Linked DNA regions of Ovis aries. The protein of the gene in region 3 interacts with the protein of the main gene of each other region in a pairwise test. Links are inferred from orthologs where the notes say so. Each region holds a gene or a part of one and is shown on either strand. Other genes may lie near its edges.

Region 1 (10,032 bases), on a different chromosome or scaffold from region 3:
CACTGGCAGGCAGGGGACGTGGATTTGATCCCTGGTCCAGGAGGATTCCACATGCCTCTGAACAACTAAGCCCGTGTGCACCAGAGCCCCTGCTCCCCAACACAAGAAGTCATCACATTGAGAAGTTTAGACACCAAAACTAGAGGGTAGATCCCACTCGCCACAACTAGAGAAAGCCCACACCCAGCAACAAAGACACAGCACAGCCAAAAAGAAACAAACAAATAAAAAATTAGTGAAAATAGATCATTCTTTTTCTCCCTTCAAGTTTACAGACCTCCCCTGAGTTCTATCCAAGAATGCTTGCTCTCATTGACCTTTTTTTCAGAGCAAATCACTCTCTCCTTAGTAGCTGCCAGTAACACTTAAATTTTAGCTAGAGATTCAGGCTTGAAAATGTGTTTCTGAGTCCCTCCACCTCGATTTATTCAGCTCTCCATTCAGAAGTGATATATTCAGTAATTCAGTTGTGGCTGTAATAGCGATTCACTGAGCGTGCCTGGTGCTGCAAACACAGCTGTGGATGAAGTGGAAGAAATGAACAGAGACCTGGTCAGATACAGTGGGCAGGGGAGGCCAGCTGAGGAGGTGATCCAGGCTGGACCTAAAGGATGAGACGGAGCCAGGAATTTGAGCAGCTGGAGGTGGGTAGGTGGGTGGTCGGGACTGCCAGGTAGAAGAGCTGTGTAACAGTCATTGATATTAATACAGCGCCAACTGGGTTCCAGGCTCTTGTTCGTGGCCCAATATGTGGTGTTCATTTTCACTGGGCCTGGGAGAAATGATCTCTGAGCGCATCTGTTTACTGCCTTGACTGGCAGACCCTAGGAAAGAGGAGTCATACCTCCCTACCTCTGCCCTCCCTCCCCTCCCCCATGGGTTCTCTGCCTGGGAGTGCTGACTCAGTGCCACCCCCCCCCCGCCCCCACTGCAGGCATCACCCAGGAGAAAATCAACGAGATGCGGGCAGCTCCTGAGCAGCAGATGATTTCGGACATTCACTGTATGATCGCAGCTGGCCAGGACCTTGACTGGGTAGATGCCCAGGGGGCCACACTGGTGAGGAGAGGGGCCAGGCTATATTGGACTGGGGGGTTAGGACCAGAACTCAGACCAGCTGGAGCTGAATGGGGAGGTCCAGTCTACACAGAGGGGGCCTGTCTGTAGCCTTGGACTTCCTCCCCCTTTTGGGGACAGGGTTCTCTCTGGAATGTGGAGTTAGCAGAGCAGGGATCAGCTTCTTTGAGAAGCTGGGGCTGGGAGTTGGGAGCTGTGGGTTGGGGAGGCTTGGCTCTGCCATTCACCTCTTTGTCTCCAAGCTTCTCCTTTACCTCACGTTGCAGGTGTCCATTCTGAGTTCATTATTTCCACCTCCTCCCATGATGTCTCCTGCTTCAAGATGAGTGCCACATTCATCCACTCATCCAGGCCATCTTGCTTTGCACTATTCATTCTCCTACCTCAATGTACCCTCTCCCACCTCAGTGCCTTGTTTCATTGTCTGTCCCTGATGTTGCTGCAACAGCCTCTCTTCTGGTTCCCTGACGTCAGAGCCCAGACACCCCAGGGACCCATCCTGTGGTTCACACATCCATCCATTGGTCCTCCCATCCATCCATTGGTCCACCCATCCATCCATCAGTTTACCCATCCATCCATCGGTTCACCCATCCATCCGTTCACCCATCCATCCATCGGTCCACCCATCCATCCATTGGTTCACCCATCCATCCATTGGTTCACCCATCCATCCATTGGTCCACCTATCCATTCTTTGGTTCACCCATCCATCCATTGTTTCAACCATCCATCCATCGTTTCACCCATCCATCCATCGGTTCACCCATCCATCCATCGGTCCACCCATCCATCCATCGGTTCACCCATCCATCCATCGGTCCACCCATCCATCCAGCGGTCCACCCATCCATCCATCGGTTCACCCATCCATCCATTGGTTCACCCATCCATTCTTTGGTTCACCCATCCATCCATTGGTTCGCCCATCCATCCATTGGTCCGCCCATCCATTCATTGGTCCACCCATCCATCCATTGGTTCACCCATCCACCCTGTCAACATACACATCCTCTGTCCCACATACTTTACTAGACATTAGAGATAGAGAATGATGGAATCTTCTCTCTCTCTATCTGCCTCATTAGCTTCACTCACTGTTTCAATTCAAATGTCAGTGAAACCTTCTTGATCTTTCTTCATAGGCCTTCATAGCATGATACAGCTCAGTATTGGGGAAGTCTGCTTCTGCAGCCTCTAAACTGAGAACTAGAACATGGCCTTGGAAGCCCCCCTCAACCTTGCCCATGGCTGGGCCCATCCTGTTCTAGGCTTGGGGTCCATGTGATTGTGAGCACTCAGGGTCTCAGAATCTTCAGCTTTTCAGGTAGGGCTCAGCAGTACCAAGTTCCCTCACTGCCCCTCAGGCCTGACCTGGTAGCCCAGATGTGATCATTGGACTTCTCCCATCCCGTTCCTGAGTCCCACCCTCTGTCTCATCCCCCTTTCTTTTTTTTTAAAATAAGACTTCTAAAATTGATTATTGGTTTATTTCAGTGACATATAGTTGCTTTATAATATACTAGTTTCAGGTATATGACACAGTGATTCAATATTTTTTATAGATTATACTCCATTAAAAATTATTACAAGATAATGGCTATATTTTCTTGTGCTGTACAACATACTTTGCTTATTTGTTTTAGTAGTTTGTGCCTCTCAGTCCTCTACCCCCATCTTTCCCCTCCCCCTTCCCTCTCTCTGTTAGTGAGTCTGTTTCTGTTTTGTTACATACATTCGTTTGTTTTTTAAATTCACATGTAAGTGATAACACAGAGCATTTGTCTTTGTCTTCTTTCATGAAACATAAGGCCCTCTTGGTCCACATGTGTTGCTGCAAATGCCATTATGTCATCCTTTTATATGGCTGAGTAGTATTCCATTGCCTGTATATACCATACCTTCTTTATCCATTCATCTGTTGACAGACACTCAGGTTGCTTCCATATCTTGACAATTGTAAATGATGCTGCTATGAACACTGGGGTGCCTGTATCTTTTTGAATTAGTGTTTTCATTTTCTTTGGATATATATCCAGCAGTGGAAGTAGTTCTCTTTTTTAGGTTTTTGTGCCTCCTGCTCTTTTCTAAGGAAGGGGTCCCTGCTCAGCCCAGCACTCAAGAGTTGAGTCAGGTAGTTGGATTGAACGCTGCATGAAGACTGGACGAAGTTTTGGCCAGGCTGTGCCAGGACACTGCCCGCCCTGGATGGGGCTCCGTTGGGTCTGTGGCTCAGCCCTGTAGACACAGGGGTCTGCTCCTCTTGGGCTGGCCTCAGAGCGGCTTCACTCACATGGCTGGGCACACACTAGGTCTCAGTTCTTCCCAGTGAAGCAGGGAGGCGTACCTTCCCCAGGGGGCTGTTGGGAGGACTAAATGAGATTCTGCATGTAGCTGCTCAGCACAGAGCCTGTAAACTCTCAATAGATTCTGGTGATTAACTCATTATTATTATTAACATGATCACTTCTATTTATATAATAAATAGCAAGGTCCTACTGTGTAGCACAGAGAACTATATTCAATGTAATTATAGTTGTAATCCTCTGTAATGGGAAAGGAAATCTGGGAAAAAATATATGCAGGTGAATAACTGAATTGCTTTGCTATATACCTGAAACATTGTAAATCAACTATACTTTAGTAAAACAAAAAATCAAAAAACCCACCAATATCACTCTCCCAGTCATAACTTTTTATTCCCAGCTATGTATGTGGCCCTACAGTTTTTAATGTCTGGCTGGCTGTGTGTCATTCTTAATAGCTGGCAAGCATCAAACATTTATAAATCAGATAGTGATACCAGTTTTCATGTGTGCCTGTTCCAGATCATACCCTGTTTTTTTTTTTTCTTTCTGAAAATTAAAAAAAAGAAAAAAACCCAAAACCTCTGTTTGCCAGAAACTTATAGCAACCTGACCCCCGGATGACGCGGCATCTGGCCATTAGGGCTGTGTTCTGTTGGACCTCTGAGACCCCATCTACAGGGCTCAGTGCATAGTAAGCACTCAGTAAATGCTGATGCCTTAACGACAGGGGCTTGAAGACGGAAGAGAAGCCCCTTCTCCCTTACCTTCCTTTTCCATACTGCAGACTTACTAATGCTCTGTCACGTGGCTGGTATCTTCACCTCCTTCTATTCCATTCTACGGCCCTAAATATGATCTGGGCCTTGAGCCGGGGAATGGGCTCTCCTGCTTCCAAATGAGGGACCAGCCCCCGTGGGGAGTGCTGACCCCTTTCCTCTCCTTCAGCTGCACATAGCTGGAGCCAACGGATACCTGCGGGCAGCCGAGCTCCTCCTGGACCATGGTGTACGCGTGGATGTGAAGGACTGGGATGGCTGGGAGCCCCTGCATGCGGCTGCCTTCTGGGGACAGGTAGTTGTCACCCACAGTGCTGTAAGAGAGGCCAGCTTATGGCCAACCTGCTGACCTTTGGGCTGGGAGTTGGTTCAGAACACCCGACCCATTTAGGGTGTTGACTACAGCTAGCGTGTAGGATGTGAAAAGACCTACGGAGTTTACAAAAAGGATTGTCAAGTTGTGTCCTAACAAGATGACAATCCAATTTGCCAAATTAGAAAATTTCCCACATTTCTGTCTTGAGTTTTTCCACTTGTTTCCCAGATAGAAATCTCTGTAGCTTTCGCCATTCCTCTTTAAACACTTGACAGCTCTGGAGTTATAGCTGACTCCTTCTGTCCCTCGGTATGGCTGAGTCATGCTGGAGGAGGTGTCAAGCCTATTGCATTTGCCGGAGTTCCCGGCTTTAGGGAGCAGAGCCTTCCCTGGGAGTCAGCTTTGCCCTACCATTCTTTGGATCACATCCTAAGAAGCTTTGAACTCTCACTCTCTCCGACTCCTAGGCTTTCTCAGCTGTGGGCAGGGGGGAACCCGGGCTTCTTCCTGTGTTTCAGATGCAGATGGCAGAGCTGTTGGTGTCCCATGGGGCCAGTCTCAGTGCTAGGACATCCATGGATGAGATGCCAATTGGTAAGTTCAGAAGGACCACGCCTGCACTCATTGATTTTTTTGATGAGTGGAGGATAAATGGTTGAATATATGGTTGGATAGATGGTAGATGGATAGTTTGATGAATAAATTAATGGGTGGTAGATTAATGGATGGATAACTGGGTAAATGTATGGATGAATGAATTAAGAGGATGGGTGGGCAGAGGATGAATCTATGGATGACTGGTTCAGCGAATAGGTAGACAGATGAACTAAAGGATGAGAGGGACTGAGTGGGTGGGGATATATGATTTCAGGCTCTTTTCATAATGTCTTGCTTGGGCTCTGTGGGGTACCTTCTGGTTTCTCTTGATATATTTTCTATCAGTGGAGAATTGATGACTCCTCTTGGAAGCGATCAAAGGTGTATGAATCCTTCAGTCATATCTGTGAATTGGGACTGTGCATGGGACCTGGGGTTTCCTCTTCTTACACTCCTCTAAGGATTGGGTTGTAGCCCAGGAAATAAGGCTGGCACTGCTTTCTTCCCTCCAACCACACCCCAGAAGATGTGAATTTTCAGTGGGTCTGGGGGGCCCTCGGGGATCACCAGCCCCTTCTCTGCCCCCTACCATGGACTCCTCCACCCTTTCAGACCTGTGTGAAGAGGAGGAGTTCAAAGTCCTGCTGTTGGAGCTGAAACACAAGCATGATGTGATCATGAAGTCGCAGCTGAGGCATAAATCATCTTTGAGCAGGAGGACGTCCAGCGCGGGCAGCCGAGGGTGAGCTGGGGGCGGGACAGCCAGGGGCGCCCAAGGATGCTCCTGCCCATGGAGCCTGGAAGCAGCCTCCCAGTACCCCCCTCTCCCCTTAGGAAGGTGGTACGTCGAGCCAGCCTGTCCGACAGGACCAACCTGTACAGGAAGGAGTATGAGGGAGAGGCTATACTCTGGCAGCAGCGGAGTGCATCCGAGGATCAGCGGAACTCCACCTACAACGGGGACATCAGGGAGACCAGGACAGACCAAGAGAATAAGGACCCGGTGAGAGCTTGCCTCCCACCCAGCCCCAGTGAGCACTGCCGTGGGAGGGGAACGGCTGGAACCCCAGCCTGGCGTTGCTTCTTTATTTCAGAGCCTTCGGAGGGAGGTCAGCTGGCCATCGCCCTTAAACCAGCTGGGTCCTGTCTGAGGGGGTGCCTACCATGGTTATTGAGGCAAGTGTAGGACGTGTTCACGTCAGAGCTGGGTGATTGGCACACAGTAGGGGCTCATAACTGCCAGGGAGTGAGTGATCACCATGTGCCTGCTTGAGCTCCAGCAGAAGAGAGATTTTATTCTGGCTTCCCAGAGGAAAAGGTTCAGTAGGGCGGCCACTCTGGGAGAGAAGGGTGTTAAAACTTTTTTAGGGGAAACCTAACAAGATGTTGAGAATTGTGTTGAGATATCGGGTTGGAAGAAAATTTTTGAAAAATATAGGGGCTGGCTATAGAACGTCTAAGAAGCTGGCTCTAGGAGTAGATAATGATCTGGGCATTAAACCGCTTTCCTAAGATGCTGTATTGTTTTCTGAGAACTGTTGTAATGAATTACCGCAAACTAGGTGGCTTGAAGCGAGAGAAATGTCTTTTCTCCCAGTTCTGGAAACCAGAAGTCTAAAACTCAAGTTGTCTACAGGCTTGGTTCCTTCTGGATATCGGAAGGGGCCTCTGTTCCATGCCTGTCTCCTAGCTTCTGACATCTTGGGCATTCCTTGGCTTTTTGCTATCGTGCCTCCAATCTCTGCCTCTGTCTCCATGTGGCCTTCATTGTGTACGGGTCTGTCTCTATTTTCTCTTAGAAAGACACCAGTCATTGGATTAGGGCCCACCCTCGTCCAGTGTGACCTCATCTTAATGTAACTGATTACACGTGTGAAGACTCTACTTCCAAATAGGGTCACACTCAGAGATGTGGGGTGGATGTGAGTTTCGGGGGGACACTATTTGACTCAGTACAGATGCATTCAGGCCCGTGCCTGGCTGCAGTCTTGCTGAGTAGAATATGCAAGTTTGGGGCCAGAGCAGAACTACTGGGCACAAGAAGGAAGGGGCTGACCATACCAGCAGTGGTGTACCTTTGTGGTTCTACCATCACACAAAGAGCAGCTGAAAACATTTCTAGTTCCTGTTGCTTGGGGGGATGCAAAATGTCTCAGTGGGACCCTGCTTCCCTGTGTGAACAAGGAGGTCATGTGAGGGCTTGTCTTGCCGGCAGGAGTGAAGGCATCTGCTCTAAAGAATCTCCATTGTGAGAGGAGTTTGGAGGAGAATAGATCCATGTATATGTCTAGCTGAGTTCCTTTGCCGCCCACCTGAAACTGTCACAATATTGTTAATCAACTATACTCCAATATAAAATAAAAAGAGTAAAAACAAAAAGAGGGACTTACCTGGTGGTCCAAGGGCTAAGACTCCTTGCTCCCAGTGCAAGGGACCTGGGTTTGATCCCTGATCAGGGGATAAACCACAGCTAAAGACCCAGCGCAGCCAAATAAATGTTAAAAAGAAAAAAGATTCGATGCCAAGTGGTTTTTTTTAAAAGAGAGAATCCCCACTGAAACGCCGATTGGGATGGAGCCCGCACACTCGGAGCTTTTGTTCTGCCCCTGCCCACCTAAGCTTGGGGGTTAGGAAAGAAGAGCTGTAGATTGGAATCAAATCCCATTTCAGATGCTTCCCCGATATGCTTTAATTCTCTTTTCTTTGTGATTGAGGTGTAGCTTCTATAACCTACAGAAATCTTAAACGAATTTGTCAATGACCTCTTTCCAATGAGTACACGCATTTCTGTCACCCCAGAAAGCTCCTACGTTCCCTTTTCCAGGCAGCCCTTCTACCCCACAGATATGAGTGTGTGCTTAGTCACTTCAGTCGTGTTCAACTCTTTGGGACCCCATGGACTGTACAGCTCTCCAGGCTCCTCTGTCCGTGGGGATTCTTCAGGCAAGAATACTGGAGTGGGTTGCCATGCCCTCCTCTAGGGGATCTTCCCAACACAAGGTTTGAACCCAGATCTCCCGCATTGCAGGCAGATTCTTTACTGTCTGAGTCACCAGGGAAGCCCAGCTCAACCTGGTGCTCTGTGATAATCTAGAGGGGTAGGATGGGGGGTAGGGTGGGAGGGAATTTCAAGGGGGTGGGGCTATATGCATACCTATGGCTGATTCATGTTGATGTCTGGCAGAAACCAACCCAACATAGTAAAGCAATTATCCTCCAATTAAAAGAGAAATGCAGGTTCTCAGGCCCCACACGAGATAGACTGAATCATAAACCCTGGGGCTGGGACTCAGCACTCTGTGTTTTAACCAGCCCTCCAGAGGATTCAGATGCATGCAAGAATTTGAGAACCACTGATCTAAGGGTGTGTTTGCTCAGCCTGACTCCCAAGTCAGATTTCTGACAGAACTCTGCACTGATAGCCCCCAGGGCTGGCTGTGGTACCCACTTTTGGCAGAGCTGACTCCCTGATAGCAGGCACAGCCGTGATAAGACAACCCTGTCTCTTCAACCAGTGGTTCATGATCTAAATTGTACAAGAAAATCACCTTGGGGAGGTGTTTTGTTTTTGTTTTTAAAAAACTTGATGTCCGGACTATAATCTCAGTTAATTAAATCAGTCTCCAGGCTTCGGACTCAGGCATTGTATTTGTTCATTTATTTATTTATTAACAAATAGGCTTTATTTTTTTGGTTTATTTCTAGGTTTACAGAAAAATAAGTGGGGGGACTTCCCTGGGGTCCAGTGTTTTAGCTCTGTGCTTCCACTGCAGGGGGCAGGGACTGGGGGACTAAGATCCCACGTGCTGTCCTGTGGCCAAAAAAAGTTTTTTGTGTGTCTTTTGACCTTGTTTATAGTGATTTTTGGTATGCTTTATATTTTTGTTACTGTCAATGTATCCACCTTTTCCTTAGAGTTTCTAGGTAGCACCTCCTTTTAAAGCTCTTGTTACCCAGGGATTTCTGGGTGTAAAAGATCTCTGAGTAAGAACCTCTCCCATTTGGAGAAGAGCTATCCCAGGAATATAGGGAGAGGATTCTCAGTGACCAAAAAGCCCAACTAAGATTGACTTACAGACGCAAAAAGAATGCACTGGCTTGGTTAACTGGAAAGTCTGGGCCAACTGGATGCGGGGGCTCAGAACATATCATCAGGGGACTTCCCTGGCAGTCCAGTGGTTCAGCCTTCACCTTCCAATGCAGCGGGTCTGGGTTAAATCCCTGGTCAGGAAGATAAGATCCCGCATGCCTCGAGGACAAAAATCTAAAACATAGAAACAGAAGCAATGTTGTAATAAATGCAGTAGAGACTTTTAAAATGGTCCACATAAAAAAAAATCTTTAAAAAAGAAAACGTATCACGAGGGTGCAGTGTCTCTGTCTCATGCTCTCTCTTCCTTAATGTTGGTTTCACAGCCAAGCAGACCTTTTAACGCACTGTCTCCCCAGTTTATGATTCTCACCCCTGCAGTTCCTATAGAAACAGAGCTGCTCTTCCCCAGTTTTTCTAGTTTTTCTAGTAAGTCCCAGGGTTGAGTTTCATGGAACCAATTTCTGAACCCATTCCTGAACCAATTCCAATAGTGAGTTTATTGATTGGCCAGGTCCTGGGGTTATGGTTTATCTCCTGGAGCAAAGATGGGAGTCAGTTGGGTCTGTCAAAACCCACAACTGGTGAGACTCCCCAAAGGAAAACGGAGGTCTTATTACCCAGGTAGGGAAAATGGAAGAGGATGGTTTCAAGCAATCATGCCCTCAGTAGAGGCGCAAGCAGGGTTGGGGTTCAGATCCCCCAGCCGGCTGATGATGATGTCCTTCTCGCCCTCAGAACCCCAGGCTGGAGAAGCCCGTGCTGCTCTCCGAGTTTCCCACCAAGATCCCACGCAGCGACATGGACGTGCCTGTTGAGAATGGCCTCCGGGCTCCGGTCAGCACCTACCAGTATGCGCTGTCCAAC
Region 2 (10,031 bases), on a different chromosome or scaffold from region 3:
TCAGATGGCCAAAGTACTGGAGTTTCAGGACTGATACTGAAACTGAAACTCCAATACTTTGGCCACCTGATGAGAAGAACAAACTCACTGGAAAAGACCCTGATGCTGGGAAAGATTGAAGGAGAGGGAGAAGGGAACAACAGAGGATGGGAGATGGTTGGATGGCATCACCGACTTGATGGACATGAGTTTGAGTAAGCTCAGGGAGTTGGCGATGGACAAGGAAGCCTGGCATGCTTGAGTCCACGGGGTCGAAAAGAGTCGGACACAACTGAGCGACTGAACTGAGCATAGATGCCCAAGTCATCAAAAAGATGGTCACGTTCTTTACATTGATTCATCTAGTAAAAAAAACAGTCCAGAAGGCTTTTTTCTATTTACACACTTTGTGTTTCTAGAATCAGTGTTGTTGTTAGCGGTCAGCTTATACTCCTCAAATGAGTTCACCACGTAAAGATGTTGGCGGACTCCCATGGGAATGACTTCAGCCTTTCTCATCAAGCTGAGTGGCAAGCACACCGGAGTGTATTTTTGTGCAGCACTGTCAGGCACCAATATTAAACTCAATACAGTCATGAGGAATTCAGCTCAGGGACTCAAGTCAGCAAGCTTCCTCACAGCTCTGAGATCTCAGGCCCATCTTTCTCTTTCTTCTCAACTTCCACTTATGTGACAAAACGTATCTCCACATTCTGGGGCTGGGATACTTCCCAAGCTCTTAAAATACATTAGTCCAGAAAGATCCTTTCCCCTCCTGTGGCTTCCTAGTGCATCTGATCCCTAACCCCAGTGACTTCGAGGAACCCAATCTGCGAAGATATACCTGGTCCCAGCTTGGCTTGGTGACTCAGAGAAATGTCAGATCAAGATGACCCCAAGACACTCACAGAACACGTGCCCAAGCCCCAGTGACCTGGACTCCAGGAAGGCGTGGGCCAACCTCAGGCAATACTGGGAACTGGTTTCTCTGTGCATTTTTGAACCCATGCAGCTGCTTGGTGAGGCCTGCAGGTGGCCTGGGGCCAGGTGGGCAGAGAGGAACCTCGGCTGGGGCAGTCAGAGAGGTGTGATGGGCACATTCCCATTACCTGGGTTTACAGCCCTGGGTCTTCCCAGGTTCCAGCTGCGACCTGAGACAGAAAAATGACCAAGACTCCTTTTCTCATCTCACCAGTAGGGACGTCACAAATCCCAGAGCAGGCTTGTGAATGCACCCGCTGTTTATTTTTCCTGAAGCCAGTGCAAGTCTATCTTGATGCTGCCACTCTTCAAAATTCAGAAACCACAGAAGACATTTTGAGTTACATTATTACTTTATTTTCCTTTTTTTTACACATAGCATTAAAGTCATCCCACATACAGATATTTCTATGGCTCCTTACACATTTTATTCTATCGAAAGTATCATAGCTATGAGATGACAAAAATCATCCCATTAAAATGGCAACATTTCTGAAAAACGGGCTTCATATTTAGTGATGAGAAACTGACTCCCCATCTACTCCCCCAGCCGAAAAAGACTCCCTCGATCCAGAGCTAGACAGACAGTTCACATCCATGGCTAACACGTGGGGCCCATACAGAGAAGGCTTCAAAACAACAAGCTATAGGGTTATTAAACTTGTAACAAGCAACTTCTTTATTTGTACGGAATACGAACACAAGAAAAGCATCTTTTTCCTTTTTAGCCCTTTTATTAGTGTGTTTTGCCTCCACCCAAGTTACTGCATACCCAGCGGCTATGAAGAGTAAAAACCAACTGATTTTAAGTCCCTGAAATGCATGCAACTTCTAATTCCCTAAAGCACACAATCAGTTCCCAGTCTCCAGGGCTGACCCTTCACTTCACGGAGACTACGGTGCTGCCGGGTTAGCAGCTGTGTCTGTTGTGCCGCTGGGGTCTGGAGCTGCTGCTGCTTTGGCTTCCGGCGGCTGGGTCTCGGTTTTGGAGTCTTCTCCGTCTCCAGCACTCTTCTTGCTCTTGTCTGCAGCCATCTCCATGATCTCCTGTAGTGGCTGATCGGTCTCAAGGGAGCTGGGCTGGAGTTCATAAACCTGGACTTGACCCGGGACATCTATTGCTTTCTGTTCAAGTTTTTCCAAGATGGTCTGAACCTTCCTGACCCCATCTCTCCTGGCCTGGCGGACATCAGCTCGTCCTTCTGGGTCTACCGAATCCAGGGCCAGCAGCTCTTTGGTCAGATACTCTTCTATCATCAGGTACTTTTTGTCCGTCTTCTTGCCTTCAAAGTTATCCACAGCCTGCTCCAGCCCTTGCACTTTCTCCAGGATGGCTTCCACTTTCAGCACACCTGGATGCTTTGGGGGCACTTCAGCCTCTCCTGGTTTAGGGGGTGCAGCTTCCGCAGGGGCAGGACTGGGGGCTGCTCTCTCTTCTGCAGCCACATTCTTAGGGGGAGAGGGGACCGCAGAGGGGATGGTAGGAGGGGCGGGGCTAGGAGGACAAGGCACAGGAGCGGAAGGAACCTTTATTTCCACCTTCTCAGAGGGAGGTGGGGGCTTCTGCGAAACAGGTTGAGCATCCACCTCCTTTCGGATCACTTGGATCGGGATGTGTCCGGGAGGGAGATCTGGTCCAATTGGGCCCGGCCTGCTTTCTGGCTTGTTTTCAGGTTGGGGAATAGGCGAAGGTTCTCGATGGGTCATGGGCTGTGGGGAAGAGGCAAGGACACAGACAATTTTAACGGCTGAGTCACAGGTGGTCATTTGTAGCTAGAACTGACTAGAAGGAAATGGGAACGACTTTTAAAAAGTTTAACAGTATAAAAGAGATTTTCAAAGTCAACTGAAACCAGTTATAACAATAAAATATGGTATTCATCATGTATTATGGGGCTTCCCAGGTGGGGCTAGTGGTAAAGAACCCATCTGCCAATGCACAAGAGATAAAGACGTGAGTTCGATCCCTGGGTCAGGAAGATCCCCTGGAGGAGGGCATGGCAACCCACTCTAGTATTCCTGCCTGGAGAATCCCATGGACGGAGGAGCCTGGCGGGCTACAGTCCATGGGGTCCCCAGGAATCAGACATGACCGAGAGACTTAGCGTGACCAGCACACATGCCTTATATGCACCCAAACCACTGTCATGCTTCCGTTTGTTACCCCGGGCTCTCAGTCTGCTATCTCTTACTGACTTTTTCTGGAGATGGAATTCTTATGGCAATGAAAAGAAAACCAACATGATTTTTCAAAAAGGAAAATACCCCAGACTCATGCTGACTCCCGAGTCACTTTAGCTCAAAGCAAAGTCCTGGGTGACTGACTATCAGGGGATGGAGCCGTGGAGTAATCATTGCCACTTGACCCCTTCTGTGTGACAGTCTCTGCTCAGGGTGTGACCTTCCCAGCTCCTGTTTCAGCAAAGTTATAATCGTCTTTTTTTTTTTAAACCTATGACAGCCTTGTGGTTTCTGCCCAGACTGATGTGTTTTTTTGAGAATAAGCAAGATGCCCCAAACGGGTAACCCTATAAGACTTCTGCTTGGACACATTTGTGCCAGAGCTGATACTGGCACAGTGCAGCACCTCCACACTGACGACACGGCTACAGAGGCTGAGATACTCTTGAACGTGACTGAGATACTCTAACGTGAGATACTCTTTAACGTGACTATAAGCTACAGGCGTATTCTAAAAAATGAACTATGCCTGCAACATTCAAGTGAATATCTAAAACCCTCTTAAAAAAATCTCACACACTCTGATTTCATCAACTGGGAAACAGGAGTTAGACGATAACACTTGTAAAGTACTCCATATTAAAAACACTAAATCCCACTATAATATTCATTAGGTCAAATCTTTGCAAGCCTCCAACATGGGATCTCTGAACAAGCTGTGAAAGGTAGGCCACTACAAACAAGTAAGATTAAGCGGAAATAGGATTACATATTGTTTCACCAGTTACACAAAATATATAGGAAAGATATGAGAGGAAACACTGCCAGCTTTGCAAATGAGCACTTCTTTCCCATTTGAAAGGATTACTGAGTTTAAGTAAGGATCTGATGGACGCTTGGCTATTTGAACACCACTAGCCTCCTTTTCCATCAAATCTCTTCTGCCAACCAGAAGTCCTCAACTTTGGCCCTTAGCATTCATGAACTAGCCACACGCCTCTCCTTGGACTTTAAAGCAATAGCTGAGTAAGTGATTTTAGAAACACTTAAGAGGGGGTGAGCCCGCTGGCTTGTACTTTTCCAAAACTTTTCAAGGTCATGATAGCAGAAAAAGACTGAGAAACTGATCCAGATTAAAGGAGACTAAAGGCAAACGACACCTGCATGCAGTGCTCATGATCCTAGACTACATCCTAGAACAAAGGGGAAACTGCTCTAAAGGAGATGTGGAAATGAACCGTGTATGAGACAATAATGTCGTAAGGATGTTAACCATCCTACATCTGATATTTCTAATGTGGTTATGAATGAGAAGGTAGCTCTCTTAGGAAAACATCTGCTGTCATATTTAGGGGTACAGGGGCATGTTATTTATAACTAAATCTCAAACAAAAATATACATAATATGTGGAGGGAGGAAAAATGACAAGGCAAATGGAGTAAAATGTAAACAGTGAATATGGCTGAATCTTTGCTTTCATGACCTTTATGTATACTGGACTTCCATCCTGTAAGGTTGGAATCATTTCCAAATAGAAAAGACAAAAACAAAACAAAAACAAAAGCCAGCAACAGGAAAGCACTCTGTTAGAGGGCCCTGGACAGTGTCCCCATTCGTAGGAAGAAGATGCCCTCCATTTGTTTAACGGGGGCTTTCCTTTTAAGAACAGTGGTCAAGAATTCACTCAGCAGCTGAGGGGCCCTGACTGCTGGGTATTCTGCGGCTCTAAAACTAGAAGACTGCTTCCCCCAGGGATCAGTGCCTGCACACTTCTGTGCTGTGTGCTGTGCTAAGTCGCTTCAGTCATGACCGACTCTTTGTAACTCTATGTACTGTGCCCACCAGGCTCCTCTGTCCATGAGATTCTCTGGGAAGAATACTGGAGTGGGTTGCCATGCCCTCCTCCAGGGAATCTTCCTCACCCAGGGATCAAACCTGCATCTCTTGTATCGCTTGCATTGGCAGCTGGGTTCTTGACCACTAGTGCCACCTGGAAAGCTAGTGCATGCCTCTACCGAAGGTTAAACGGGCACTGCCTGTGACTTTCACCAGATAGGCGGGAAGGTTTCCCAGCCACCCAGCCAGCCGGGCATCAGCCGGGCAACACGGTCCTTTACTGCAAAGGGTAAGACATGCTGCCTGTGGTCAAGGTCAGAGCAGAGCTGAAGAGAGCAGATGAACACTTCCGAAATGCATAGAATAATCAGATGCTGAGCTGTAAGAGACTAGGCACCCTGGGAAAAGATGAGGAGGCTGCATGGAAGCCGCAAGACCGGCTTGTCCCCTGAAGGATGGGAAAAGTTTAGATTGTGGAGGCATCTCAGGAAGTGGGTTCAGTGTGAGGAAAGAAACAAGAGAAGAGACAACAGATGAAAGGGCCAGCAGGGTGCAGAAGGGGTATCCGTGAGGCAGGAGATGGAGGCTGCAGCTGGAGTGGGAGTGGGGTGTGGCAGGGCATGATGGGCAGAGGACACCTGGGCCCCAGATATGTGACGTTGTGCTCTGCCCACCTTTCCCCATCACGGTGGTTGGAACTCTGCCCCTGAGGCAGCTGCAACAAAGAACGAGCAAAAGCTGTAGAAGGCACCAGAGGTTCACAGCCCTCACCCGCATTTCTGCTGGTGACCAGCATTGTTCCAGGATCTCGGTCTCCCCAGGAAGGGCTGATGAGGGCAGGGGACCCAGGACACCTGCACAGAGCTCCTCCGGCCCTGGAGAGATGCCACCCCAGCCCATCTGCGACATCAACTCCCATACCTGAGGCCTGTCGACCGTGGTCTGCACACGGACAGATGGCGGGGGTGGCACCGGTGTGCTGCTTCTGGCTGGAGAGCCCTCCCGGCTGGACGCACCCCGGACGGGAGGCCGGAAGGGGGATGCAGTCCACGTGGTCCGGGGCTCCCAGTCATCCCCCTGGATCTTGTGGTACACGGGCTGGTGCGTCTGGTACTCGCCCTGCTGAGCTGGGTAGTGCGTCTTCTGGGCTTGGTGGAAGGATGGCTGGGCTGCCGGCCGGGTGACGTTCTGCTCATGTATCACAGGGATGGAAATGTAGCCCCGGGGGAGCTGATGACCACCCAGGCTGCTCCTGCCGGAGGAGGTGGGCAAGCTGGCTGAGGAGGAGGACGAGGAGCAGTCCGAGGCCGCTGGAGACTGGGACCGCTGCAAGACACAGAACACACAGCCACATGGCCCTGTGAATCCCCCTGGCCTGGCTTGCTGACTCTGCCCCCTGTACATGCCTGCTCAGGGTGGCAGGTTTAACACAACCTCCCACCTGTTAAGCCTTTCCAGTGTCTACATGTACTGGTAAGATGGGGAATTCAGCAGTCAAGAGGCCTGGGCTCAAATTCTCAACAGCCCGATAGCTTTGCTGTTTTAGTCGCTAAGTTGCATCCGACTCTTTGCGACCTCATGGACTGAAGCCCACAAGGCTTCTCTGTCCATGGGATTTTCCAGGCAAGAATATTGGAGTGGGTTGCCATGCCCTCATCCAGGGGATCTTCTGGACCCAGGGGTTGAATCTTGGTCTCCTGCATTGCAGGCAGATTCTTTACTGTTAATGAGCTGCTTTTGAAGTATAGAAAAGAGTAACCCCTCCTCACCTGACTAACTTGAAGGTTCTATAAAAGAATTAGTGGGTGTGTCTGGCACCAGCACCACCCACAGGAAGTGCTCACTAAGTTTTAGTTATTGTTGTCACTTCATTTCCGCTTTCCTGAACTCTTTTCCTGCTTATCCTCAAAGAACCCAGGGGGCAGCAGGAAGGAACCACGTCCCCATGTGGACCGAGGCAGGCCAGGCCTCTCTCCCTTCCTGACCGCCTACTTTCTATTTTGGAAGAGCAGAAGAGTGTTTCCCCAGCTGGCTTCTAAGGCCCCTGCTAGGTTAAATTTGTGAAGATTTCTCTGACGCATCACTTTTGATTTTTACAACAAAAACATTACAAATGCAGGTACTGCCTCTCCAAGAAAGGGAAAGTGCCTCCTGTGTGAGTGTGTGCTCAGTCACGTCCGACTCTTTGCAACCCCACGGACTGCAGCCTACCAGGCTCCTCTGTGGATATAATTTTCCAGGCAAGAATACTGGAGTGGATTGCCATTTCCTTCTCCAGAGGAACTTCCCAAACCAGGGATCCGACTCACGTCTCTTGCCTCTCCTGCACTGGCAGGCGGGTTCTTTACCACTGCACCACCTGACGCCTCCATTAACTATGTTTTTCACCTGGAGTGAGCATTTCTGCTCAAGAGCAGTGCGGGGGACACAGCGGGATGGTGTGCTGACAGGAAAACCCAGAGGGCCTATGGCTCAGTGTACCTCCTGGGGTCGACTGGCCTTCAAGTCTCAGCTAAGAACCAGGTTAAGGACTATGCTTTAAATGTTAGTGCAAGGAAATGCTGACCTCAGACTTAAAGCCTGAAAATATTATTTTATGCTTTGTTTTACACGGTGGACACTGTGAGGGCAGGCATGTGGTCTCATTTTCACGTCAGCATAGCTCCGAGCAGTTAACACTCACCCGTGAACACTGAACTGAGTGAAATGCCACAGAGTCTCTCTGTGTTTCCGACACAGAAAGCTCAGGGGGAATGAGGGGTGTCATAGGGGGAGCCAAAAGGCCAGGCTTTCAGGCCCTGCAATGCCACTTCCGACTTTATGCTTTTGGACCAAGCTGTTTACCCCTTCTTGAGCCCCAGTTCCTGAGCTTCAGAAACAAACCACAATCTCTGCTCATCAGAAAAACCAGCCTGTGAAATGCTGGGGGGACATGGGGCTGTCAGCAAGCTATCTTTGCTGTGTGATGCCGGCCAGGCCCCGATACCCCACATTTCACGGAGCTGTCATGAGGGTCTGGTGTCATCTGTGGTCTGGGGCAGCCCAGGAAGCATGAAACCCAGCTCCCCGCCATCCCTCCCCCTGCCCACACAGGTCACGGTCATATCGGCCTGTGAGCCAGGCCTCTCCTTACCTCGGGTCCATGGGAAGCTGGAGGCTGGGCCGTTGCAGCAGCTGCCACTGGTGCACTCGGTTTATCCGGCTGGCTCGCTTCCGCCACACCCCGCAGGGGTGACTGGGATCTCGGGGGAGCTGCTGCAGCAGCCTCGGTTTGGAAGCGCTGTGTCCCGGGCTGGGAGTAGGCAAAGACAGGGTGCGGCCGGCTCGGGGCGCCTTCATGGAGGACGGGGATGGGAATGTAGCCTGGCCGGAGCTGAGGGTACACGGCATGACCTTCTCTAGTGGGCAGCAGCCTGGGGCCCTCCCGCGAAGGCCCATTTGCAGAGGATGCGGTTTCCTAAAAGTGAGAGGAGACACAGACCTGTTAGAAACTGAGAAGGAAACAGCCCTGAGGAGGAGAAAGCATAATGCCACATGCTCTGATCTTTCAGAGTGACTCTGGGCCCCACGGTGCCAGCCAGGAGCAAGGACAGCTGAGCACAGAAACTGTGGGTACCTCCCCCGATCCCCTACTTCTTCCAGACCCCTCCTCCCTTGCTGAAGCTGCTGCTGGCCCAGCAGTTTAAGAATGAGAAGCATCAAGAAAAAGAAAGAGACGAGCAAGGTTATCTGTGGCGCAGAGGAGAAGTCCCAGTTTCCCCAGCTGGTAACAGGTTTTTGTTCTGGATGACAAGGCAGCCTTGCATACAGCGGAGTCCCCGACAGCCTCCCAAACCTTCAGAGACCCAGATCAGAAGATGCTAGGAGGATTCAATGCCAACTCGCTAAGGGGATTACAGCCGGCATCTCGGCTTCCTAAACGGTCCTCACATTTCCTGACAACGCAGACTCGCGGGGGACCCTCGACACAGGCTACAGCTCAGAAATCTGCAGAGAAGGGGCAGCGGCGGGCAGGCAGCCTCCTCAGGAATATTTTCAGAACAAGCGGCAAGAAAGGGAGATACCCGAGGAATGCAGAAGAAGCACAGGATGAGAACAAAACCCGGGGATTAGTTGTGCTGGTCTTGTGATGCCAACAAAGCCTGCTTGGCGAGGAGCGGCTGGGGTCCCTCCTACGTCCTCTCATGAAGTTCTCTCTTCAGTGGCCTGGCTATTTTGGGACCCTTGAGAAGGCCAAGTTCCAGATGTACCACAGAGAAAGATCCTGTTTCAGACAACAAGGCTGGCCAGTCACTCACCAGGCAATGTCACTCCTCACCAAGCAAAGGCTGGGCAACTGAAGCCAGGGACCCCTGCGGCTTTCTGTCCTGACCATCTCCTGAGCACTAGAGGGTCCTTTCACAGAGGAGGGGGCTGAGGATTCGTGCCACTTCTATGGATCCAAGTGGACAAGCTATTATGCCTCCTTACGAGGCATCCCCCTGAATGGCAAACACCAGAAGGCTTGAGGCTCTATTCCCGCTGGGGCGAAGCTGGTCACAAGGAGGGCAAGCCCTGGACCTTAGATCTTTCAGACCTGTGAACCTCTCTCTGGCCTCCTGCTGAGCTCGCCACCCCAGTGGGCCTCCCAGCACTTCGGAGAGGCCCGAGTGTTGCCGTGTCCTTGGGGACATCGGCAGACAGGCGGTACTCTCAGATTAGAATACCCACGTGCTCAGGGTGGCGGCATTATTTTAGCCTGCTTAACTCTCGGGTCATCCAAGAGCAGGGAGTGGGTCCAGGCGTCACATTCAGAAGCGCATTCCTGCCACGAGACGGGCACCAGAAGGAAGGCAGCAGCAGCGCTGAAGGAGGCCCGTGCTGCTGGGTGCTGACTCATCACAGGCCGGCTAGGCACCTCGTCCTCGCCCTGGGGCACCATCCCTCCAGCCTGGAGCGGAGCCTGGACAAGTGCGGGGGGCGGTGTCCCTGCTGGCCTCCTCCTGGCCACGCACTAGAGCAGAGATGGGCAGGTTAGCAGCCCTCGTCCGCTGGCTGGCCCCTGGTGAACAGC
Region 3 (10,616 bases):
AGACAAAGCTTCCCAACACCTGGGGATGCTCCAGTGTTGGCCTCTGGCGTGTGGGGCCAGGATCCAGCTGCTGGCTATGCCAGGTTCCAAGCATTTCTGGGACCTCAGTTTATGACCACATATAGCAGAACTCTGCTTGAAATTAAGGTGGTCAGTTCGTCCCCTTGTGACTCAGAAGCCTGGTATCCAGTCATGCTGTGAAATACCGTGTCTAATCTTCCCCCAAGTTTTTAGTTTGGCCAATGTAAGCGCTGCATGCAGGCTCTTAGTTCCACGAGCAGGGAGGAAACCGGTACACCCTGCAGTGGAAGCACAGAATCTTAACCACTGGATCGCCAGAGAAGTCCCTCCCCCAAGCTTTTGACATATGTAATCAGACATCCACTAGATGACTCAACCTGCACACCTTCCAACACACTACAAAGTCAACATACCCAAAACTGTGCTTATCATCTTTATCCTGCTTCCCCAAGTTCTTCCTGCTGCATACTCTCATCTTTGATTCCACTCTTCCTTTCATTCATTGTATCCAATCTAATACCACGTCCTAACTTGCCTTTTAAGTATCTCCCCACTGGAGGCTTCCCAGTGGTAAAGTGGCAGAGTCCACCTGCCAATGCAGGAGAATCTGGTTCTCCTGGTTCGATGCTGGTTCGATCCCTGGGTTGGGAAGATCCCCTGGAGGAGGAAATGACAACCCACTCCAGTATTCTTGCCTGGGAAATCCCATGGTCAGAGGAACCTAGAATTCTTAAGCCAATAGTGTAAAGCCTGAAGCATCCTATCTGTGTGCTGTTTGAAATGGTTCTCTGTGCCACAATGTGAGAAGGGCTGAGAACTAATCTTTGGGCACTCCCTGACTGGTTCTGACCTCATCCTGCCTCCAGCACTGAACAGCTTTAGCTTTAGCACATTACAGACTATGCTATTTATCAGTCTTTTACTTCTGCTCAGAAGCATCCCACAGATCTGGAATGAGTTTCCCTTCATCTTAGTCTGAGAAGCTTCTAACCTTCAAGATCATTCAACTATCATTTTCCCAGAAAGTTTTCTTGGACTTTCAAGCCAGGTTGGATACCCTTCCTTCCGCTCTCAAAATATTTTGTTTCATAATAATCTCTTATATATCAGTCTACTGCCCTGGTGGCTCAGACGGTAGAGACTGCCTGCAAGGTGGGAGACCCAGGTTTGATCCCTGGATTGGGAAGATGCCCTGGAGAAGGAAATGGCAACCCACTCGTGTTCTTGCCTGGAGAATTCCATGGTCGGAGAAGCCTCGTGGGCTATGATCCATGGGGACACAGAGTCAGACACAACTGAGCGACTAACACTTTCACAACCCCCTGGTAATGATCAGACAGCAGAACTGCCCTGCTCATCTTTGTATCTTCAGTGGCCACCAGCAGAGTCCTTGTGTGTACGATATTACCTGAATGAGAACGATGCAAAAGAACAAGAGGGCCAGGCTTACCTTTTCTTGCCTGGAGTTTAAGAAAGTTCGTGGTTACATAAGCCATAAAGAGCTTTGGAGAAGAGGATGATATAACGGGATTAAATGTGGCAAAGGAAAGAATAGGCCATTGGATTTGATCTAGTTACTTAAAGTCTAAGCACAGATTTAAATATGATGGAAATCAGGTTTGGAAGGCCTGAGGAGAAAGGAAATAGGAATAAGATACAAACCCCTTACCCAAGATATTTGGCAGTATAAAGAACAAAAGAAAATGAAGGATTACTGAGTTCCTACAGTCCCATTGCAATTACTTTGCTACCATTTAAGATACATGGTTCCACAATAACATAGTATTGGACTTGAGAAATCCAGTTTCCCTCCATATTCCTTCCCTTCCCCCAGTGGGTATCAATTTCCATTAGTTTATGGTTTATCCTTCCTTTTTCTGGCCGTGTAGCATGAGGGATCTTAGCTCTCCGACCAGGGATTGGATCTGTGGCCCTTGCAGTAGAAGCAGATAACCTCTGGAGCTCCAGGGAAGCCCTATCCTTTCATTTTTAAAATAGAGACAAATGTACAACATACATTATGTGTCACCCTTTAGATAAGAAAGCACATTATGCCTTCTGTTCTACATGCTACTTTCTTCACTTAATATAGCCTCGTGATCTCTCCAATCAGTGTGTAGAGTCTCCCTCATTCCTTTTTACTGATGCTTAGTATCCTACTGTATAGATTTACCAGTTTATTCAACCAGTCCCCTACTGACTGATATGAGAGTTGTTTCCAATCTGTTATTGCAAATAGTGCTGCAATGAATAGCTTTGTGCATGTTACTTCCTATTTTTGCCATCTTATTTCTAGGAACTTTACTTCTATTCTAACTTAGTACTCACAACAACTATGCCGTAGATACTGGGTCTTCATCTTATGTATAACTTTGATGTAATGAATCAAGTGCTGCAGTACACAGCAGTCCAGCATTTGCAATAGCACATTATAGAGTAAGTCTTTAAAACTTGGAATAAACACCCTCACTCCTACCTTACCGTTCTTCTCCCAATATACGGACATCTCTTCTCAGAGAAAAAGAAGTTATTCTGTCAAGTTAAGCACCACAAACGATAAACAAGGAGTTTAGTTTAATTTTCTCTGGGTATTTGTAAAACACTTAGGGCCAACATAGGAAAAAATAAAATAAAATACAGCCTCCTGTGAAAAAATTACACTTACAAAAGAAAGGCCTGAGAGGGATTAGTGCCTTAGCCCCTCGGAGCTATAGCAACTCTGATTGGTCCAAGGAAGTGAATAGATATTGGGAGGCTACAACAGGAGGAAAAACAATGAGAAATCACTGAGGGAGAGGGCCTCGAAGTGGGCCTCGAGGGGGCACTGGAGGTCGGGGAGTAGGTCTGGGTGGAGGGAGGGGCCCCCGCTGGTAGCCGTAGGGTGGAGGTCGTGGAGGGCCAGTGTATCCATGAGGAGGCATCAGTGGAGGAGGTCCACGCATACCATGCGGAGGCATAGGACCTGGGTGACCTGCAGGTAAAAAAGGAAAACAAAGTAAAAACAAGGAATAGGAGACAGTTCATATTGGGACAATGTAAGGAGAGGATACACTGGGAGATAGTGAAAAGAAAGAGAAGAAAAGAAAGTGCAGGGGATAAGAGGTGTGACAAAACAAGCTGCAAGAACAATATGTGAGGATGAGGGAGGTGGCTAAAGACTACTCACCCATAGGAGAGCCAAACGGAGGCCCTCGGGGGGGCATGCCCATTGGAGGAGGTCCAGGATGAGGCATTCCAGGTGGTGGTCGGGGTGGTGGCTGCCCCCCAGAGCCAGGCGGCCCAGCGTGGGGGTGCCCTAAGCCATGAGGGCCATGGTGGGCCAGCTGCATCTGAGACATCCCTATGAGAACAAAACAAGACACAGTGAGAAATGAGACAAAAGGAAGTTAGAAGACAGGAGGGCAAAGAAGACAGAGAAGAAAATGAAGAAAGTGACATCAGATAGAATACAGAAATTAAAGCTGGTAAAAAGTGCCCTTATCTTTGACTCCATCCCAAGAGAATAAATCAACCAACTACCCTACAGCTCCCCAGTCCCTGAAGCCCATTTGCTCCTTCCATGATTTAGGCATTGTAACAGTGCTGCAGAATGGCGTGATTATTCTACTGAATAGAATCTGGGAAGATAACAGAGACACTGTCACAGCAAAGATCTAATTCTAAAGGATGAACAGGAATTTTTCAGGTGGACAACAGAGTGGGAAAAGAACATTCCAGGCAGAAAAAAATCAGCAGGTGCAAAGCATGGATGTGATCAACAGCACAGTATGTTAAAGGAAACCCAGTAGAACAGCTTGTAGTCATGGGAGTAACAGGCAGGAGCCAGATTATGCAAAGCCTAGAATGCTATGATAGCGAGTTTGGGTTTCACTCTGTAAGTAAAAAGGAACAACCAGAAGAATTTTGAGCAAAGGTGTGTGAATATCTGTATTTAAGAAAAATTACTCTGAGATAGTCAATCAAAGTAGAGATAATTAGAGTCAAAGTGTCAGTTAGGGTATTACTAAAATAAATTAGGTGTGAAATAATGAGGATAGGAGAGCCTGGGCTTCCCAGGTGGCGCTAGTGGTAAAGAACCAATGCAGAGAGCCTGTTGTTCTCTTTGGTAAAACTTAAACAAGAAATGAAGACAGCATGATGGTTGTTAAAATAAACGGTAAAGTATCTTGCATTTTTTTCCTAAAAGAATGTCTGAAAGAAAGGAGAGCTTGGGCACTATCTATTATTGTTAAAGGACAAAGAACAGCAGCATTAAGTGCTGACAGAGCTCCTCCATCAAGCTCATCCCTCTCCTTCCCAGCAAAGAACGCTCACCTGGATGGGGCATCCCACCAGGTGGGAATGGGTGAGGATGTGAGTGTCCGTGTCCAGGATGTCCAGCCCCTGGGGTTCCCGCTGATGGGGGACCATGTCCTCCAGCCCCAGGAGGCATAGGTGGTGGTGGCATGGCTGGGGGTATCCCAGGAGGAAGGGCTCCAGGAGGTGGTACTGGAGGTGGGAAGGAGCCAGGAGGAGGCATGCCTATAGAGAAAATGGAAAAACAGTTAATGATAGTGAGCAGAGAGTGCCTTTAGAGAGCCTGTTCCACCCTGGCCTCTCCAGGCCGAATGAGCTCTTTTCCCCTCCTCCCAGCTCTCTGAAGTCAGCGGCAACATTAAGTGACTTGAACAACAACCTTCTGGAGAAAACTCAACAACTTTCTTCCCACCACAATCATCATCCCTCAACCCCTTTCTCATCACCTAATGACTCAATGTCCTCTCCTTGCCAGGTTATTTTTCCTTCTTCCTGGCCCCACCCTTCCCAACCCAACACAAACATTTTTTATCAAAAGCTTTACCTGGTGGAGGAAGCCCAGATCCCAATGATGATACCACAGGATTGGGAGCAGATGGTGGAGGGGGTGCATCTGCAAATAGCTGATGAGGGCGGTCAGCCTGGGAGAGTGGGTTCTGTGCTGCCAGAAGTCTTTCAGCGGCTGAGCCATGGCGCTCACCCTTGGAGTCCTTCTTGAATGCGTAGGACACAGTGATTGGGCGGTTACAGAGGTACTGCCCATTCATGGCCTCAATCGCTGCATCCGAAGCATCAAATGAAGCAAAATTAATAAAGGCATAACCTTTGGAGTTGCCTGTGTCAGGGTCCCGCATAATCTTGGGGGTTTGTAAGATGACCCCAAAGGCGCTAAAAGTATCATAAAGCAACTTCTCATCAATCTCCGGGTCCAGGTTCCCAATAAAAATGTTGGCCCCCACATCCAGGTTTTTGTTGTGAGCTGATGCCTTGTTCACCCGTATTGGCTTCCCATAGAGTTTGATCATGTTCATGATCTTAATGGCATAGTCAGCATCTTCCTCACTCAAGAATTCCACAAAGCCATAGCCTGGGGAAGTGGAAAAGAAGAGGTTAGCAACTGAAGTGATTTAAAAACGAGTTTATAACTCATTTGTCTTCTAAAGCACAAAGGATAAGAAATAATAATCCCAACTTCAATTGAGAATGGTTCCAGAAACAAAATCTTTAGTTTGCTCACTCCAAAACTTAATATCACTGGAGACCTCCAGGAGCAGTCTGTCCCTTTCATAGATAACTGTACTTTTTGCCGTGTACTCACCTTGGTGCTGACCAGTGACTCTATCCTTTGGCATGTGCGTGTTCACTACTGGTCCTGCCTGGAGAAATAGTTCCCACAGCAGTGGTTCGCTAACCTTCTCATCGAGGCCCCCCACGTACACAGTGGCATCTGGAAGACAGGATTAAGAGGTAAGGACAGAGATGAGGGGAAATAGGGAGGTAACGGGAACATGAAGATGGAACCCAGGCGGAGGAAGTGGACGTGGAGATGGGGTAGAAAAGCGAAAAAACAAAAAGATGTTAGATTAAGCTTTTAGAAGCTCCTCCTTTCCAGAAAATAGACAATCTTATGTCTAATTTAGAGTGACGGTGCAAGTTCACTCTGTAACTTTTCTTTTTCTTTTTTTTTTTTTTGAGTGGGAAGGCAGCAGAGGACTGGACACAGCATCACAACTATAGGCCTCAAGTCTGTCCATCCCGTCCCCATAAGGCATCGGGACCAGTCTGGCGCCCTTCGGAAAGGCAAAATCTCCCGCCCCAGCGGAAACATTGCTGGGCCTAGTCGAGGTCCCTCAAACCCCCAGAGTCCATTCTGGGTCTGTCCCCTCCAGTCACCCTGGTTTCGCTCGGAGATCGGCCCGGCAGCCATGGCGAAAGCGCTCCCGCCGTCTCCAGGCAGCGATCCCGCCCCCTGACCTCAGTCACTACTTCCGCTTCCGAGGCGAAGGCTGACGTGAGGTGGTGGGCGGGGCCGCGGCAGGGGAGGAGCCGGAAGCGGCCTCGGCCATCTTAGGAGACGCTGAGACTGGAAGCGGCTGAAGTAGCGGTGCGCTTCGGTCCACGCTCCCGTGCAGAAGTGCTACTATGAGCGGACGCGGCGGGGAAAGTGAAAAGGAAACGTTCTGTCTCTTTTAAGGCAGTGCTAGAAGTTAAAGGGTCACACTGCTCCCGAAACTGTCACTTCAGAAGCTGGGAGAACAAAACTTTAGTTTTCATGTGTTTTGTAGCCTTTTTTTCCCCCTTAGAAGGGTGTACAGAGGAACCGCTCAACGCAAGGCGTGGGGAGAACCGTCCATCCCAACCCGCAGTCCTTGAACAGACGCGGCCTCACAGCCCAGGCCTGAGCTTGAGGTATTTCCTTTTTCCTCAGGGAAGGAATTGTGGAATGTCTGAGCTCGCCTAGTCACTGCATAGGAGGGGAACCTGAGGTTCGGAGGTGGGGTGGTACCGAAGTTTACGGGGGTTTGATACTGAAGCCCAGAGGCCGAGGCCGAGGCCGAGGCCGAGGCCTTCAGAGCACACCCTGAACTCCAGCAACCTCTGGGCGTGCCTTTGCCCTGTCTACACGGAAGAGAGGACCTTAAATTGTGAATCCTGCAGCGCCTCACGCAGCCCAGCCCCTTACTTCCTTAGCAGTAATATGGTCGGTACCGTCCCTTCGTGGGTCACATTCCTTTCCCTCCTCTCCCACCACTCCCTTACCTAAGGTTCCTTTAATCAGACACAAACAATGCCAGCGGCGTGTATAAATATTGTGCTTTAATGAACTCCTTAAATAGAAATGTCACAATGAAAATATATAATTGGAAGAGATAGGGTGTCCTGTGTATATTCCATACCCATAGAAAACTATAAGGGAAGAAATAGAAATTGGAATTAAGCAGCAAGAGGAGGTGAGAAGGAGGTCTGTAGGCCATCTTGTTGGCACTGATAAACAGTATATCTGATTATCACAATTTACCAGCGCAATATCCAAAATTTCCATCCCAAAGACATGGAATTGCCCTGAAAAAGAGAGGCAGTCTTCTGGATTGTTGTTGTTTCTTAATTCTTCAAATGATAAGAACTGTTTAAACCAAACAAGGCAGGATAAGAGTTGGATAAGGTTAGCACCACTCATCCTCAATAGAAACTCAGGTCAGTGATCTTGTTTATGAAAGCTGAGGCAGCAAGACCAGATAAGAAAAACCGAAGGATTAGACAAAACTCTCCCTCACCCCAGACCACCCTCTGCCCTGCCCATGAGAAAGCCAGCAATTTCAACGGGATTGGGAGAGAATGGTATTTGGGTTTCTTTTCTTGGAGTGATCCTCGGGAGATATTCGTGGTGTCCATTTCCTTAATAACTCTTGAAGATGGGATAGCTCCTCCTGGAGACCAGAGATTGTGGGAGCTGAGAGGCCCATCTGGGAAGAGGGTGAAGAGAGGCAGAGAGGATCCTTAATTCTCTTAGTTCCCTTTCCTCCTCCAGCTATCCCCTAGGTTCCACTTGATATAAGCCAGAAGCAGTTTTCCCACACTCCCAAATCTATCCGCTTTGATACCAATAGGAATGGTATCTAACTTCCCAGTCCCCCAAACCCTTGCCCTTCTGCTCCTGGAAACATCTGGTTTCTCCTAGAACATCTGGTTCAAAAGTCAGACCCCTTCTCCCACTCCCAATTTTTGCCTTCCCTTCTCACCTGGACCTCAGGCCTTCCCCTCAGGTAGCAGCGTCTCCAGAGCCTGATCTGGGGTCCCAGACATCCAGGCAGCAGCAGTCCCGGGGGTAAAGGGCAAGCTCCCCAGTGTGAGGGGAGCCCCCACTCCTGATCAGCCAGGCTTTCAGAAGAGATAGCAGGTCGAGGGAGCCAACGAGAGGAGACTGCCAGCAGGGAGGGACTGTCCCGCCAAGGACAGAGTTGATTCAGGGGTGTCAGGGCCCCTCTAGAGAAGAGCCACACGGAACTGGGGGGCCCAGGAACCATGAAGCTTGGCTAAGGAGGAACAGGAAATCAACTGGCAACTTAGAAACCTGATGACCCCCAGTTTCCCCAAACTGGGTCATGAAGGAATGTCCAGCTGTCACCCACTGCACACTGTACCAGTTATCAAACTACAAGCCTTCCCCTGAGAACACTTTATCTGCTCTCCTTATTAGACTTCAAACTAGGCCTCAGGACTGATTAAAGTTGATTTTAAGGAAACATAAAAATGTGTGCATGAGACAAGAAGACTAATAAGGATGAGGAGGACCAAAAAAGATGCCATTTGTGATTTGTAGGATTTCTGTCTTCCTGGGGACAGTTAGGACTATAAATGACACCAGAGGGGGAATGAGGAACTCAGACACTATCACCTCTCCTCATCTAGTAGGATGAGCCTGTGAAAAAAATCAAAGGAATTTAGGAACTTCAGACACTTTACCTGCTGTCTAGGGAGCCAGGAATCTGGGCAGTGTTCTGGGTTATAGCCAGGATTACAGAATTGTAGTATTTGTTTATTGCTGTAGCGTAAATTCCAGTCCCAGACAGATAGTTGTGGGTTAATAGAGTTCCCAGCCCCTGGGAACCCAGGGGTATAGACTTGTGTATAGTTGTTGAACTAGACAGAGGAAACAAGAAGAGGAAGGTTAAACAAAAATATATAATCCTCCCCAGTTTAGAGATAAATCGTGAAACTCATCTTATTCTAAGAATCAGATGTAAGGCTTCCCTGGTGGCTCAGTGGTAAAGAATCCACCTGCCAGTGCAAGAGGCACAGGTTCAATCCCTGGTCCAGGAAGATCTTATCTACCTTGAAGCAACTAAGCCTGAGCACCATGACTGTTGAGCCTGTGATCTAGAGCTTGGGAGTCACAACTACTGTGAGCCCACATGCCACAACTACTGAAGCCTGCACACCCTAGAGCCCATTCACAACAAAAGAAGCCACCACAATGAGAACTCCATGCACCACAACTGGAGAATTTGCTGCAACTAATGTGAGAGTTGGACTGTGAAGAAAGCTGAGCACCGAAGAATTGATGCTTTTGAACTGTGGTGTTGGAGAAGACTCTTGAGAGTCCCTTGGACTGCAAGGAGATCCAACCAGTCCATTCTGAAGGAGATCAGCCCCGGGATTTCTTTGGAGGGAATGATGCTGAAGCTGAAACTCCAGTACTTTGGCCACCTCATGCGAAGAGTTGACTCATTGGAAAAGACTCTGATGCTGGGAGGGATTGGGGGCAGGAGGAGAAGGGGACGACAGAGGATGACATGGCTGGATGGCATCACTGACTCGATGGGCGTGAGTCTGAGTGAACTGCGGGAGTTGGTGATGGACAGGAAGGCCTGGCGTGCTGCGATTCATGGGGTCGCAAAGAGTCGGACATTATTGAGCGACTGAACTGAACTGAAAGAAGAGCCCACTCAGCAATGAGGACCCAGCACAGCCACACACAAAGAAAAGAATCAGATGTAGGGTGAAAGTCCAGTCCTGAAAGAAAGCGCCAACCTCCTCCCCCTTTCCCACCCGCAGACCACTTTTCATATTCAAGGGTAAACTTCAGAGAGTAGTTCTTTTGTTGACTAAACTGCTTGTGGGATCCTAGTTCCCCCGACCAGTAATTGAACCTGGGCCATGGCAGTGAATGCCCAGAATCCTCACCACTAGCCCACCAGGAAACTCCCAGAGAGTACTTAATGGGTAGGGGAAAGCCAAAAATGGAAGTCACTGACCTGTCCACTCTGCTTTCCACGCTCCCAGGGGGTGTCTCTCAAGAATGTAAGGGTGTCAGGAACTCTGACACTGTCATGAAGAGCAAGAAGGAAGAACTCAGAAAATTCAAACTCAGCTGGAAACTGCTGGAGGAGCTGCCAGACGCAGTCAAGGAAGAGGAGAAACACTGGGGCCTGAGAAGAGGGAAATTAAGAGGTTGGAAGGGTGTGTGGGGACTTAAATGGAGAGGATGAATGACGTGGGAATGGGGACACTAAGGAGGTCAGGGGGTGGAAATCAGTTGAGGTAGGGGGTTGGGGTCCCTCATCTGGATCTCCTTTCAAGCTCAGCCCAACCTCAGACCTAATTTGGACCTAATTCACCTCCAGTGGATTTTAGTATGTCATTTTCTCATCCCTCTACTTCTTAATAACATCCTCCCCAAACATTCTCACCTCTTCACTGGCCCCAGATCCCCCAAGTCGGGTCAGGAAAGGATGTCCAGCTGCCACCCACTCTCGTTGCACTAATGATTGGAAGCCAAGCAGTGTTCGGGCTTCAGG

What was found. The genes of interacting proteins can lie anywhere in the genome.
Region 1: the proteins of SF3B4 (region 3) and PPP1R16B interact in binary tests that used the Homo sapiens proteins (3 or more experiments, as listed by UniProt). The two-hybrid records come from large-scale screens. The link is inferred for Ovis aries from reciprocal best matches to the Homo sapiens genes SF3B4 and PPP1R16B.
Region 2: the proteins of SF3B4 (region 3) and BAG3 interact in binary tests that used the Homo sapiens proteins (3 or more experiments, as listed by UniProt). The two-hybrid records come from large-scale screens. The link is inferred for Ovis aries from reciprocal best matches to the Homo sapiens genes SF3B4 and BAG3.

The regions. Positions count from the first base shown.
Region 1 is NC_056066.1:67,708,709-67,718,740, forward strand, and holds part of PPP1R16B (protein phosphatase 1 regulatory inhibitor subunit 16B), read left to right. Parts: intron 1-934; coding exon 935-1,059; intron 1,060-4,331; coding exon 4,332-4,457; intron 4,458-4,996; coding exon 4,997-5,072; intron 5,073-5,687; coding exon 5,688-5,817; intron 5,818-5,909; coding exon 5,910-6,078; intron 6,079-9,903; coding exon 9,904-10,032. UniProt on the Homo sapiens protein: Regulator of protein phosphatase 1 (PP1) that acts as a positive regulator of pulmonary endothelial cell (EC) barrier function. Involved in the regulation of the PI3K/AKT signaling pathway, angiogenesis and endothelial cell proliferation.
Region 2 is NC_056075.1:39,303,814-39,313,844, reverse strand, and holds the end of BAG3 (BAG family molecular chaperone regulator 3), read right to left. Parts: intron 8,436-10,031; coding exon 8,112-8,435; intron 6,305-8,111; coding exon 5,900-6,304; intron 2,671-5,899; coding exon 1,855-2,670; 3' UTR 1,295-1,854; downstream 1-1,294. UniProt on the Homo sapiens protein: Co-chaperone and adapter protein that connects different classes of molecular chaperones including heat shock proteins 70 (HSP70s), e.g. HSPA1A/HSP70 or HSPA8/HSC70, and small heat shock proteins (sHSPs), e.g. HSPB8.
Region 3 is NC_056054.1:100,029,808-100,040,423, forward strand, and holds SF3B4 (splicing factor 3B subunit 4), read right to left. Parts: upstream 6,282-10,616; 5' UTR 6,245-6,281; coding exon 6,211-6,244; intron 5,765-6,210; coding exon 5,636-5,764; intron 5,405-5,635; coding exon 4,862-5,404; intron 4,543-4,861; coding exon 4,336-4,542; intron 3,362-4,335; coding exon 3,188-3,361; intron 2,993-3,187; coding exon 2,805-2,992; 3' UTR 2,579-2,804; downstream 1-2,578. UniProt on the Homo sapiens protein: Component of the 17S U2 SnRNP complex of the spliceosome, a large ribonucleoprotein complex that removes introns from transcribed pre-mRNAs.